2 linked regions of the Saccharomyces cerevisiae S288C genome follow. The gene in region 2 interacts genetically with the main gene of each other region. Each region holds a gene or a part of one and is shown on either strand. Other genes may lie near its edges.

What was found.
Region 1: mutations in SVP26 (region 2) and GSM1 together harm fitness more than expected from each alone (negative genetic interaction), as found in Saccharomyces cerevisiae (2 studies listed by BioGRID).

What each region holds. Positions count from the first base shown.
Region 1 is NC_001142.9:226,777-232,723, forward strand, and holds GSM1 (Gsm1p), read right to left. Parts: upstream 4,106-5,947; coding exon 2,249-4,105; downstream 1-2,248. Other genes in the region: import motor complex subunit PAM16, read left to right, coding at 551-1,000; mitochondrial elongation factor MEF2, read left to right, coding at 4,525-5,947. UniProt on the Saccharomyces cerevisiae protein: Transcription factor which regulates nonfermentable carbon utilization. Binds specifically to 5'-CGGN(8)CGG-3' and 5'-CGGN(9)CGG-3' sequences in the promoter region.
Region 2 is NC_001140.6:464,128-470,466, reverse strand, and holds SVP26 (Svp26p), read right to left. Parts: upstream 3,240-6,339; coding exon 2,553-3,239; downstream 1-2,552. Other genes in the region: RGD3 (Rgd3p), read right to left, coding at 1-2,248; YHR180W (uncharacterized protein), read right to left, coding at 4,798-5,289. UniProt on the Saccharomyces cerevisiae protein: Plays a role in retention of a subset of membrane proteins in the early Golgi compartments. Facilitates endoplasmic reticulum to Golgi transport of mannosyltransferases MNN2 and MNN5.

The DNA of each region.
Region 1 (5,947 bases), on a different chromosome or scaffold from region 2:
TTGAAAGCTTAATTTTATCATCATAATTTTTCTTCCAAAACTTCAATCTTGGTATTTTTTTTCGCATTGGTCTTCATTTTTTTTCTTTTGTTTTTAGCTTTAATGTTGAAAGCGTGAATATCAAAACACTTTTATAATAAATCACCACTTTGTAACTATAGAGAACAATTCATGCTTTATTTATAGATGCCACGATTAAGCATCAATCATTAGTTGAGAGGATCCTTAACGTTAAAATCCACCGCACTTTTCCTTTCAAAAAGCTGCATTGTTTCCATAATTCATTTCATGGCAGGTTAATGACTTATTTGATATGAAGAGTGAGGTTCTTATCAAATGAAATTCCTACATATGAATTTTTTAAAAGAGAGTTTTTCGTTTTACGATATTTATTTACTTCATCATCGTTTATCATTTTTCACGTAGCAAATTTTGAAGCTTCAACTTATAACTCATTTGCATCCGATTCACATATTTCAGCTGACTATAAATTTGGCAACAGCTTCGTGACTTGAGCATAAGAAAAACATAGACTTGTTGGATATAAAATATGGCTCACAGGGCTTTCATACAGGTTATAATCACAGGAACTCAAGTTTTTGGAAAAGCATTCGCCGAGGCGTATAGACAAGCGGCTTCACAATCAGTGAAACAAGGTGCTACAAATGCATCTAGAAGGGGAACAGGAAAAGGCGAATATGGTGGTATTACGTTGGATGAGAGTTGTAAAATTTTAAATATTGAAGAATCCAAGGGCGATTTAAACATGGACAAGATTAATAACAGGTTTAACTATCTATTTGAGGTTAACGATAAAGAAAAAGGTGGAAGCTTCTACTTACAGAGCAAAGTTTATCGAGCAGCAGAAAGGTTAAAATGGGAACTGGCTCAGAGAGAAAAAAATGCGAAGGCGAAAGCAGGGGACGCTTCAACAGCGAAACCTCCTCCGAATTCAACAAATTCATCTGGTGCAGATAATAGTGCAAGCAGCAATCAGTAGTCAAGGAAGCCTCCATCATTACGTCACAAGTGTTATCGAAAGCATGCAGCAGTGCATATATTTTCCTAGTTGGTTGCTTCCTGTACGTTAGGAATCTTCAACCACCATCCTTGTATTTAGTTAATATTAGTATATGTACCAAAGTAAATATACTCAGATGCCATCTCGATATACGCACCGTACACGAAAATGAAATTAAAAAAAAAATGTTGGAGCACAAGCAAGGCAGCATCAGAACGTACCGTCAGTTGGTACCAAGACAAGTCCATCCCCGTAGGCACTACAAATTATGGGAATGAGAAAGTATACAAAATATAAACTGTCTTATCATGAAGAAGAGTCGCTTAGGAATTTAAACTTTCAAATCGCATTACGCAATTCTCTAAAAACGCGAACCTTTCCCTGATATGTAATCAGGGAATTTCCTCAGAATAATATTCGATCTAAGAAACCGGAAACGAAATGAAAATTGTTACTACTTTGTTTAGGAGTAGTCAAAGTTCATTCAGCTATGGGTTATGATGAAATGATTTAAATTATTCTCGCTCCAGTATTAACTTATTACGTAATATGAGCTTAAAAGAGCAAGCTCCTCATCACTCACACTCCATAACATGAAGAACGAAAATAACCTAATCTTTAGGTTTCTATGGTATAATGAAATTAATATTATCTAAAGATAGTATTAACCACTACTGATGTTAGCCTTTTGAAAAAAAATCAAAAGAAAAATTTGAATTTTAAAGAAGAAGTAACAAAGGGAAGAAGTTTTTGCCAATCGGACAACACTAGCTCTATTTATACTTTTCTGTTGCTCCAAAAACAGGAAAGAACAAATTTTTCAATTTAGTGTGACCCGGCTAATAATAAAGAGGGAAGTAATAGGTAGGGTTTTACTGGCAAGAAATCCATATTGTTGCTCCCGAATAATATTATAAATTCTTGTAATTAATACAAAGTTTCTAGATCCACCTTGTTTAAAAATATAAAGTTATGCTTAAAATTCTTCAGGGAAGAAGGTTTTCAATGGATGATTTTACATTTTTGACGAATTCCTGAGAAACTAAATTACAATGTAAAACTGTACATAAATATAAATATTATTGTTGATACGGAAAGTAAAATAAAAAAAAGAAACGCTAAAGAATACTGAATTGCCAACCTAAGTAAAAAATAAGCGATAAAATCAAAGAAACGGACAGAATGCATATAAAAACTGTAATCAGTAATAAGCCCAAAAAATAGTGATCAGTCCATTTCAAAAATTGGTAAAAATTGTCCCATTACGAGAATTGGGATATTAAACGAGTCCCTTTTTACTGTCCAACAACAGGCACACTTCAAATAAAGACCGTTACTTAATAATAAATTGCACTTAGTAAAGATTGCTTTTCCATCCGTAGTAAAAGAAAACCCTTCTGTAATTTTTGACGAGGTAGAAGAACATGCGTTCAACATCAATAGTTTTTTCCTTTTATTGATATCATTGTAACCAAATGCCAGCAATTCGTTAAATATTTGAAAGTAATTCGAAACGCTTTTATGATCCAGATATTCAAAAATAAAGGAGGTGCGGTCTAATAGTAAATTTTTGTTAAAACCTGTTAAAGAATAGAATTCGTTACTGACAAAACAAATCTCGCCTGATCTTCTCCAGATGCACATCGGTGTGCAGCTTACTAATTTTGCCATGTTCTCCAAATCTAATAAAGCCCTTTGCAAGGTAACTTCCTGTAATAGCAAATCCTCTTCAATCATATTGGATGTTAACGAAATGAAAATTGGAGCATATCTTTCTAGTATAGAGCGTATTATAACTTCTAAATCATATCTCAAATTATGCTTTTGGGTACTGTGTTCGTCTTTTACTGAGGCAGATTTATCAATTTCAGCTCCTTCAAGAAATTTTTTTCTTAAAGTAGTTAGCAGTTTGGTGTATGCGAGCTTGTAATTATGCGGTTTTATTAAACATTTATTGTCATATAGGTCTTGAGGAGTCTTTACTAATTCACGAAACTTTGAAGGTGATATGAAATCGGTATCATGTTTCTCCAGATCTGCATCGGAGTGACTAGAACTGTCACATTCGCTTTCCAGTTTGGCGTTATGTGATGGGTGTGTATTAGCGTTTGCTCCACGATTCAAATGCAGCATGTCTAAAGATATAAAGGGCCTAGACACTACTTCATCATATGTATTGAAAGTAGAAGTGGAATGGCCGATCGAGGAGTCCTTTTGGTCATTCACGCTTTTTGTCGAGTTTAAAAGGTTCGTTAAATGCAATGACGAATTTCCCCGTGTAGATGCGCTAGGATTGGGATATTCTGATTCTTGGAGGGAAAATATCTGGGAGTTATTCGGTAAAAACGGCGTTGAAATATCTACTATATCCTTTAATTTCATGTATTCGTCATTGCACCACATACTATCAAAGTGAATATTAGTTTCGTCATCGACATCATCGTCACTCTTATTACTATCGTCCATTCCAGAGTGCACAGGAACGTTTGAAGTAGCAACCAAACAATTGGTAGCCAGCGGCTGCTGCATTGCTTTATGTTGCTCTAGGAAATGCGACTTTAAATTGAGAGTACTCTTCCGTACGGTGGGTATGATGGGGTCATTCATTAAATGTACTGCTTGTGAAGCTGATATATTATTAGAAGTATTTTCTAAGACGGTCTGGCGGTTATTCGTATTGAAGTTCGTAATACGTGGAATAGATCCAGCGCTTTGAAAGTTATCATTTATATTATACGTATATTGGATATTCGTATTGTGGGCAGGTGTTTTGCCTGGTTTTTCCTGATCTGAAGATAGAAAATCTCGCTGCAGATGTACGCTTGAGGGGGATACCGTCTTCGACGGCACATCATGTATTACCAGCCTCTTCCCCAAATTCAAGTATGGTTGTGTTCCATGCTTCTCAATTCGTTTTCTTGATTTCCTTTTCTTATCTCTGCAAAACTTCCCAATATTTCTTTTTAAACAGTTTTGACATGGCCTCCCTACGTCACACTGTATATGTTTGGTATGACAGAATTCACAAGCTGTCTGGATAGACTTTCTCGTCTGTTTCAACTCTGAAGGTAGTTTTTTGGTCATATGTATATATATTCTTGTATGCTGTATCCAAATATATTATTTCTTTACTCCCTTTATTGCTAAGCTGTAATACGTTAAATCATTCGAAATATGATCTATTCATGCAAAAACTTGATGTGTGTAACAAAGAAAATATCCGGTTCAGAGATCCGAACAAATGATAGTCGTACCCTTCCCCTTAGTGTTAACTCGTTTAAGCAGGCTATGATGATTAGTAAATCGTTTCAGCCTCTTCTCATTTCGACAATTTTTGAGGCCTTCCCTTAGTGAGAGGGGAGATAACCAATCAGCACAGAGAACGACGACGGCGCGGAGGCTGGGCGGTTAAAAGAAGATAATGTGAAATAGATCAACAAGCTTTCTGGTGGCAAAACGGCAGTCAGAGATATACAAAAGGGGCAAGATAAGTGAGGGAGGCTATGTGGAAATGGAATGTGCGCAGATGGGCGGGCGCAAGAGTAAACATTAGCAAGAACCGATTAAGTGTAATTAACGTTGGAAGTAGATACTTATCGACCGCAAGAAGTCCACTGTCTAAGGTTAGAAATATAGGAATTATAGCCCATATCGATGCAGGTAAAACTACCACAACAGAGAGGATGCTTTATTATGCAGGAATCTCAAAGCATATTGGAGACGTCGACACTGGCGATACGATAACTGATTTTTTAGAGCAGGAGAGATCCCGAGGTATCACAATTCAAAGCGCTGCGATTTCATTCCCATGGCGAAATACTTTTGCAATAAATCTTATTGATACGCCGGGACATATAGATTTTACTTTTGAAGTGATTAGGGCTTTGAAAGTTATTGATTCATGCGTGGTCATTTTGGACGCTGTTGCCGGCGTAGAGGCACAGACAGAGAAGGTTTGGAAGCAAAGTAAATCGAAGCCCAAAATCTGCTTTATCAACAAAATGGATCGTATGGGGGCGAGTTTCAACCATACAGTCAATGACTTGATAAATAAATTTATGAGAGGAACAACTACCAAACCGGTGTTGGTAAACATTCCTTACTATCGAAAACAACCGACTAGCAATGATTATGTTTTCCAAGGTGTTATTGACGTCGTAAATGGGAAGCGATTAACCTGGAATCCAGAAAATCCTGATGAAATTATCGTGGATGAGTTGGATGGTACTTCTCTTGAGCAGTGTAATCGTTGTAGGGAATCGATGATAGAGACTTTGACTGAATACGACGAAGATTTAGTCCAGCACTTCTTAGAGGAGGCAGAAGGCGATTACTCCAAGGTTTCCGCACAGTTTTTGAACGCTTCAATAAGAAAACTGACTATGAAGAATATGATTGTACCTGTCTTATGCGGTGCGTCTTTTAAAAATATTGGCGTGCAGCCTCTATTAGATGCTATAGTTAATTATCTCCCTTCGCCCATTGAAGCCGAACTACCAGAACTAAATGATAAAACCGTTCCAATGAAATATGACCCCAAAGTTGGATGTTTAGTAAACAACAACAAAAATCTTTGCATTGCTCTTGCATTCAAAGTGATTACGGATCCAATCAGGGGTAAACAAATATTCATTAGAATTTATTCAGGTACACTAAACAGTGGCAATACCGTTTATAATTCTACTACTGGGGAAAAATTTAAATTGGGTAAATTACTGATACCCCATGCGGGAACATCACAACCTGTAAATATTTTAACTGCGGGCCAAATCGGATTGCTTACTGGCTCTACAGTCGAAAACAACATATCTACTGGAGATACACTAATAACGCATTCGTCGAAGAAGGATGGGTTGAAATCACTTGATAAAAAAAAGGAGTTGACGTTAAAAATCAATTCTATCTTCATTCCCCCACCAGTTTTTG
Region 2 (6,339 bases):
AATGGCCATCCTTGTCGTTTGGCGGTGGCTTAGGGGTAGAGTGTATAGGTGCCGTTGTATCCTTTATAATTATCGTCGGCGGTTCAGTGAGTGTCGCAGTAGTTGCCGTCGTGATCCTGTTTGCGATCAACGTTTGCAAAGTTTCTACAGTTCTTTCGTTGATGAAAAATGTAGATAATGTTGGTGACAAGATTTTGATGTCGATAGGGTTCTGTAAGCCTGTTCTTCTTACGAAGTGATGGGCCAATGGTATGTCTATGTCACTGTTGTCTCTAAACAAATCTTGTATTGTTTGCGGCGGAAGTGAGTATTTGCTATTGATCAATTGAAAATGGTTTGCTAGTTCTTGTAGAAACCTTAAGGAGCTCGTCGGAAACTGTTCACATAGGGATGTTAGCGATTTTTCGGCCTTAATTAAGTCATCGTAGTGGTTTGAAGGTATTAGGCTGTCGGGTAGCTCTAACAGCCATAATTTTATCAGTCCGACGAGATCATTAGTGACATAGCTGTGCGAGTTTTCAAAAAAATGAGCAGTGATTATAGAGTTTGTATTTTCGGTAGTTTTCGATCCTTTGAATTCCCCCAATAAGTCTCTTTTCAAATTAGAAACCCTTACAAAATCAATATCCCTGTGCCAACTTTGTATGACTTTATTAGCATTTGGTTCCTTTTCAATCTGCCGCAGTATAATCTTTATTGCCCCTAACGTATCAAGAGCAGCCAGTTCATTATTTATTTCACTACCACAGAAAAACTTTTCGCTTTTTATGGAGATTTCTTTGCAAGCGTCGACTGGATCACTCGCTTCTAGGATATTCCACCTGCGAAAGGGTATGCCATTATCCCTGAGGAAAAACCCTCTTACATCCGCATTGGCAGTTTCCTGTGGCAGTTGTGCTTCTTGTAGAGAACACACAGGTGAGTCAGTAAATTTTTCACATTTTTGTTGAAACATCATGTTTGATGATTCTAGAGCTCGTTTGATTCCGTCCTCCATTTTAGAGTAATTTTTACAATAATCATAAATGGTTTTTTCCAACTGCACTTTAGAATATTCCAACTGGCAACACTTGGAGAAAAAAATATCTTGTGATGATTCAAGTTGCTGTTTTAAACTCTTCCACTCATTTTTATTCATATCTGTACTTCCCGCTGCATCGCAATCATCATTATCATGTTGACTAACTTTGCGGATCCAATCGGATATAGATGTTTTGATAGATGAAACGTTGGACTTTTCTTCGTGTTCATTGTCGGAGTGTGTTAACTCACCATACGATTTTTTTTTTCTGTTTCCAGCATTACCATTACTCTCTTGCGTAGCAAGGACTTCACTGTTCCAGTAATAGTATTTTTCCTGGTCAAACTGAGAAACTTTGCTAGAGTAAAAACTCAGGGAATATTCTTGTATTATACCCAGTTGGATGAATTCGTTACCTATCCTATCGATATTAAATAAGGACAGGTTTAGTCTGGGTTCAAGTTTTTTCAATTCTTTGATCAATGACCTGCCTTGGAAACTTTGATTTGACAATCCTGGAACGGAAAAGACACTTTTCTCCAGGATGACTTTTCCCTTCAAGGTTTGCAAAAATGACATAAATTGGTCGCAATCCTCAAATTTTAACCTCTCGTCTAAAGTGTAAGGAAACTCGCATACGAAGTTCAACCTGGTTAACGGTGCACTATCCTTTCCATTATCAAAAACAGAGGAAGAATTTTCCACTGGCGTATTGGCTTTTTTCAATTTATATATAGACTGAACTCTTTTCTCACATCCAATTAGTGCCTCTTTAGCTGCGACTAAATCCTTAATGTAAGCTGAATAACGAGATGACAAATCGTTTTCTGCCTCACGAAGGAAGCTCTCATTAAGATCTCTTAGTTCTTGCAATGGAATTTTACAATCTCTTTCAACTTGCTCTGTTGATATTATATTAAACTGTTTGCTCATCACTTCCAGCAGCCTGCTATTCATTGAATTGGTTGCTTCCATTTTTTGTAAATTGTTCAATGTTGGTTTCCAAAATTTGTTGACAAAATCATTGTAAAATTTGATGTCTTTAATCAGCAAATCATTTTCTCTCTTCATATGTTTTATGAATAATTTGATACCTGTTGTATAGTCTTTGGTCCAATATGTGTTCCTTAGTGAAATTTTAACTGAGTCGCAATCAATGGAGAGTTGCCTCGAATTCTGTAATTCATCACCAATAATATCTTCTTCGTTATGCTCTTTAACAGACATAACTAGAGACCGAAAGAAAATGCTCTCTTTCTCTTGCCTTTGTCTATGTAATGACAATACTTAATCTACTGGGCCTGACTGGTTTTTTGTTTACTAGTTGCTCTAAAAAATGCAAACGTCAATAAAAAAGAAAAATATGGAAAAGAAAATATACTTTCCCGTATTAACTTGGGTAAAATATAGTAGTATTGTATTGGTGATTTTTCTTTCCTGTGCAAAATAGTTGGCAGAGCATTACACATATTTCTTATTTAGAATATTCAAATAAAGAAAAACTAACTACATGTTAAAAAAAAAGGCAATCCTAAACAGCCAATCTATCAAAGTCAGGTTCTATCTCATAACCGAATACACGGGCTAGAGAGTAGATGTACTTCCTTACCGAGTTGATGACTACACGAGCTAACCCAACAGCCCTTTTACGAAATTTTGGCTGGTTGTTCGTTGTGATGTCATCATTTTTCTTAGCCATATGTTGCTCACTAGTCGTTGGTAGCACATAATCACCAGCTGACAGAGAAACAAATAAGGCAAATGGTATGAACCAAACGCATATACCAAAAAATGAGGCTACTTCAGCGAAACTAGCACGTCTGCGTGGTATATAATTTGGATCAAATTTGAACTGTGGGGGAACTTCCGTATCATTAAAATATTTGAACCAGAAGTAGTGATTCAAGACCACACATACGCAGCTTAATAGGAAAGTTGGGCTGGTTAACGAAATAAATGGGAAACTTTTTAAGTTTTGGTAATATACTATGTAACATGCAATGGAAAAAAGTGTAAGTTTGAACGGGAAACCGTCTAGTAACAGTAGCAGAATTAATATTAATATTATACCATAAATAGCCCTTGTGAGAAACCGTCTTGTGGGTTCTGTGTGTTCTTCAACAAGTTCACTAATGTAGTATAAACCCGATGCAATTGAAAGTGTTAAAAAAAGAAACCCTGAAACGGTTCCTGCATAAGAAATCAATTCTAACAGCATGGTTTTATTCTAACAATTTCTTTTCTCCCTTTTGCTCTTTTTCTCACTTGTCAACTATATGTTTTTAGTTTTAATTTTCACATTGACCATTCAACCTTTAAAAAATCATAAAGTTATAAATGATAGAGAAATAAGAACAAAGGGAAAAAAAATAATACCGGTATAATGCCACCTGCCAGAATTGAACTAGCGACCTTTGCATTACAAGTGCAACGCTCTACCACTAAGCTAAGGAGGCTAAAAATACAACTATGTTGTATCTCAAAATAAGATACGTCAGTATGACAATACGTCATCCCAAACGTTCATAAAACACACATAACAAACGAATAGAATGAGTAACATAACTGTTGGAATGCGAGAATGAGATATTTGTGAATTTTGAGATAATTTGTGGGAATCCATTGTTCACAAAGACAATAATATTAGGTATATAGAATATGCTAGAAGTTCTCCTAGAGGATATAGGAATCCTCAAAATGGAATCGATATTTCTACATGATAATATTAGGATTATTCCTCATTCCGTTTTATATGTTTCATTATCCCATTACATTATCAATCCTTGCACTTCAGCGTCCATTAAGTTCGATGACTGTGTCCCAATCCTATGTCATCTTCTTACACCGCATGTAATAATATAATAGTAATATGACTACTATAAATAGATGACATTTTAGAGTTTCATGTCTTCATAAATGTTTGGCAGGAAGTTTGAAAAGATGGAACGTGCTGCTGCTGATGTAAGGGTCTGAATAAAACCGGATGTCTTGGCAATCCTAATGTCGCTAGGATAGTTGCTTGTCTTTCCAACAAAAGATATAATTCACAAATATTTCTCTGTGCTCCGCATATATTTGGCTTGATGTTTTAAATAGTTTGTGAGTAGTAATTCAATACAAATACTATCAAGCTTTAAGATTCATTATTTCACCAAAATAATCAGTTTTTGTTTTATATGAGGTTGAGTGTCTCAGCTAACTTATGATAAGCTATCTTTAACATGACAAACGGGATGTGATATTTGTTGTCTTGGCTCCAGATCAGCAGTTGTACTAATCTTGCTTACACTGAGCGTGTTCTATGCATTATCTTTAACACTCTTGTACGTCTTGTTTACCATACTTTGCCATATCCTTGTTCTTAAGAAAGGAATTTTGATCTAACATCTCTGAAATCGTGGCACCGTCTAGTAAAATATTAGACACTACTAACGTTACTAAGGAATAAGGTACAACAATTAAAGTCGCTAGTTCGTGAGATTAAAATCTGTTACATATTCTTAGATTGAGAGTTAACGCTGCATATTTCTCTTTGGTGATGAATTAGTCATAAATTGCATTTGCGTCACTCATTATTGTGCTTCTGTGTGAGAGTATTTTAGGAATTTATATATATATATATATATATATATATATATATATAGTATACTGGCTCCCGAGCCAGATGAGGGGGTATGAGGTTTCGACGCTTAAGGTATTATCTGAATCACAGTCGCATACACTAGTTGACCCTCAGTACAGAGATTCCCACGATTAACGGGCTGAACGGGTCCTGACTAATGTAGTTTTGAGTTCACCTGTTGGTGCAGTATTGTTATCGGCACTGGCACTGGTACTGGCACGGGTGTTTGGAAAAACTCTGTAGCATTCAATGGAGAGATTACTACATGAGTGGCGATCCAACGCGAGACATAATCTGTATTAGCTTCATAACCATACTCTGTCAGTAAGGAGCCATAGTCGACATCTGTAACATTCCTAGTAGTGCCAACTGTACCCGGCATGATATTATCTCTGACATCCCCAAAATACACAGCTGTACCATTTATTAAGTGGTAGATTGAGGGAGAGTCTATTCCACCAAGATAGAATCCGTTTCTTTCGAGAAAAATGACTTCATTAAAATTAAGTCCTGCTGGAATGTTAGTGAAGAATCTCAAAGGATTAGTAAGATCAACATCAGGGAGGGAACTATTGTTGATCGAGGTAGCAGCTAGGTTGAAGAATGTAGCAATAAATGCAACGAGGGTTATCCAGTGCATTTCCATTGGGCACGTTAAATAAGTTGAATATATAATAGTAATTTTAGAGGTTTGATGCAAGTTTGGTAGGAGATTTTATGCCTATAATATATATATTCGACCTCAATGTTCAGATAGTAGTTTTACTGCTTGAATATAGTGTGCGCCTGTACGTTTCGATTGGTTGAATTAAACATGTTCTATATTATAGCAAATTTGAAACTCCGCTGCATGTTTGATGAACGAATTGTGCCCGTTATATATATATATATTAAATCTTACTATTTAATTCCTGGGGTCTTATTTTTTACCTGCATTTAACATTTGAGCAACCATCGGGTCGCATATTCACTTTATGACCGAGGCGACCTCAATGCAACCGCAGGCGAAGATGTACGGTCAGAACCTTTCAGAATGTTATTAGGGCATTTTGTGTGGACAGTGACAAACCAGCTTCTCTAGGTACCCAATAGCGTTTTTACTGGGTATCCTGTTCTTTTTCGGGTAGTCCTTATTCTAGATCTTATTCCAAAAGCTTTCAAGACAAATCAATAAAAGAGCCTATTTGAATGTGCAATACCTTCACACCAGTTTTAGCGTGCCAAAAATCCTTCGTTCATTGAGAACTGAAGCCAGTTTAATTGCAATGGCCCTAATATAAATCTAAGGCCAACAAATACTTGGTCACAGAATGCAAGATATGTAACGATTTTTATAACAGTTTAACAGGAGAGGATAAGGACGAACATAAACGGTAGCACAGCCGTTAAGGGGATATCCTTTCAATTTCTACCCAGCACAAACTTTACGTGTTCTCAATCCACGTCTGCAGTAGAAACTGTCGCACATATAGTAACATAAATTTATATCGTAGTATATTGGAAGAAAGTGGGCGTGGGTGCGAGCGTATACTTTGGAATTTTGACATCGCATTTAATATTGTACCTAAACTCATTTCTACCACCATATGGTCACACTCTCAGATTCATATCAACTTCCTACATTATGCTACTAATCAATATAAAACGCAGGGATATAAACTCTGCACACTTCAATCTGTTGTGATAAAAATAAACT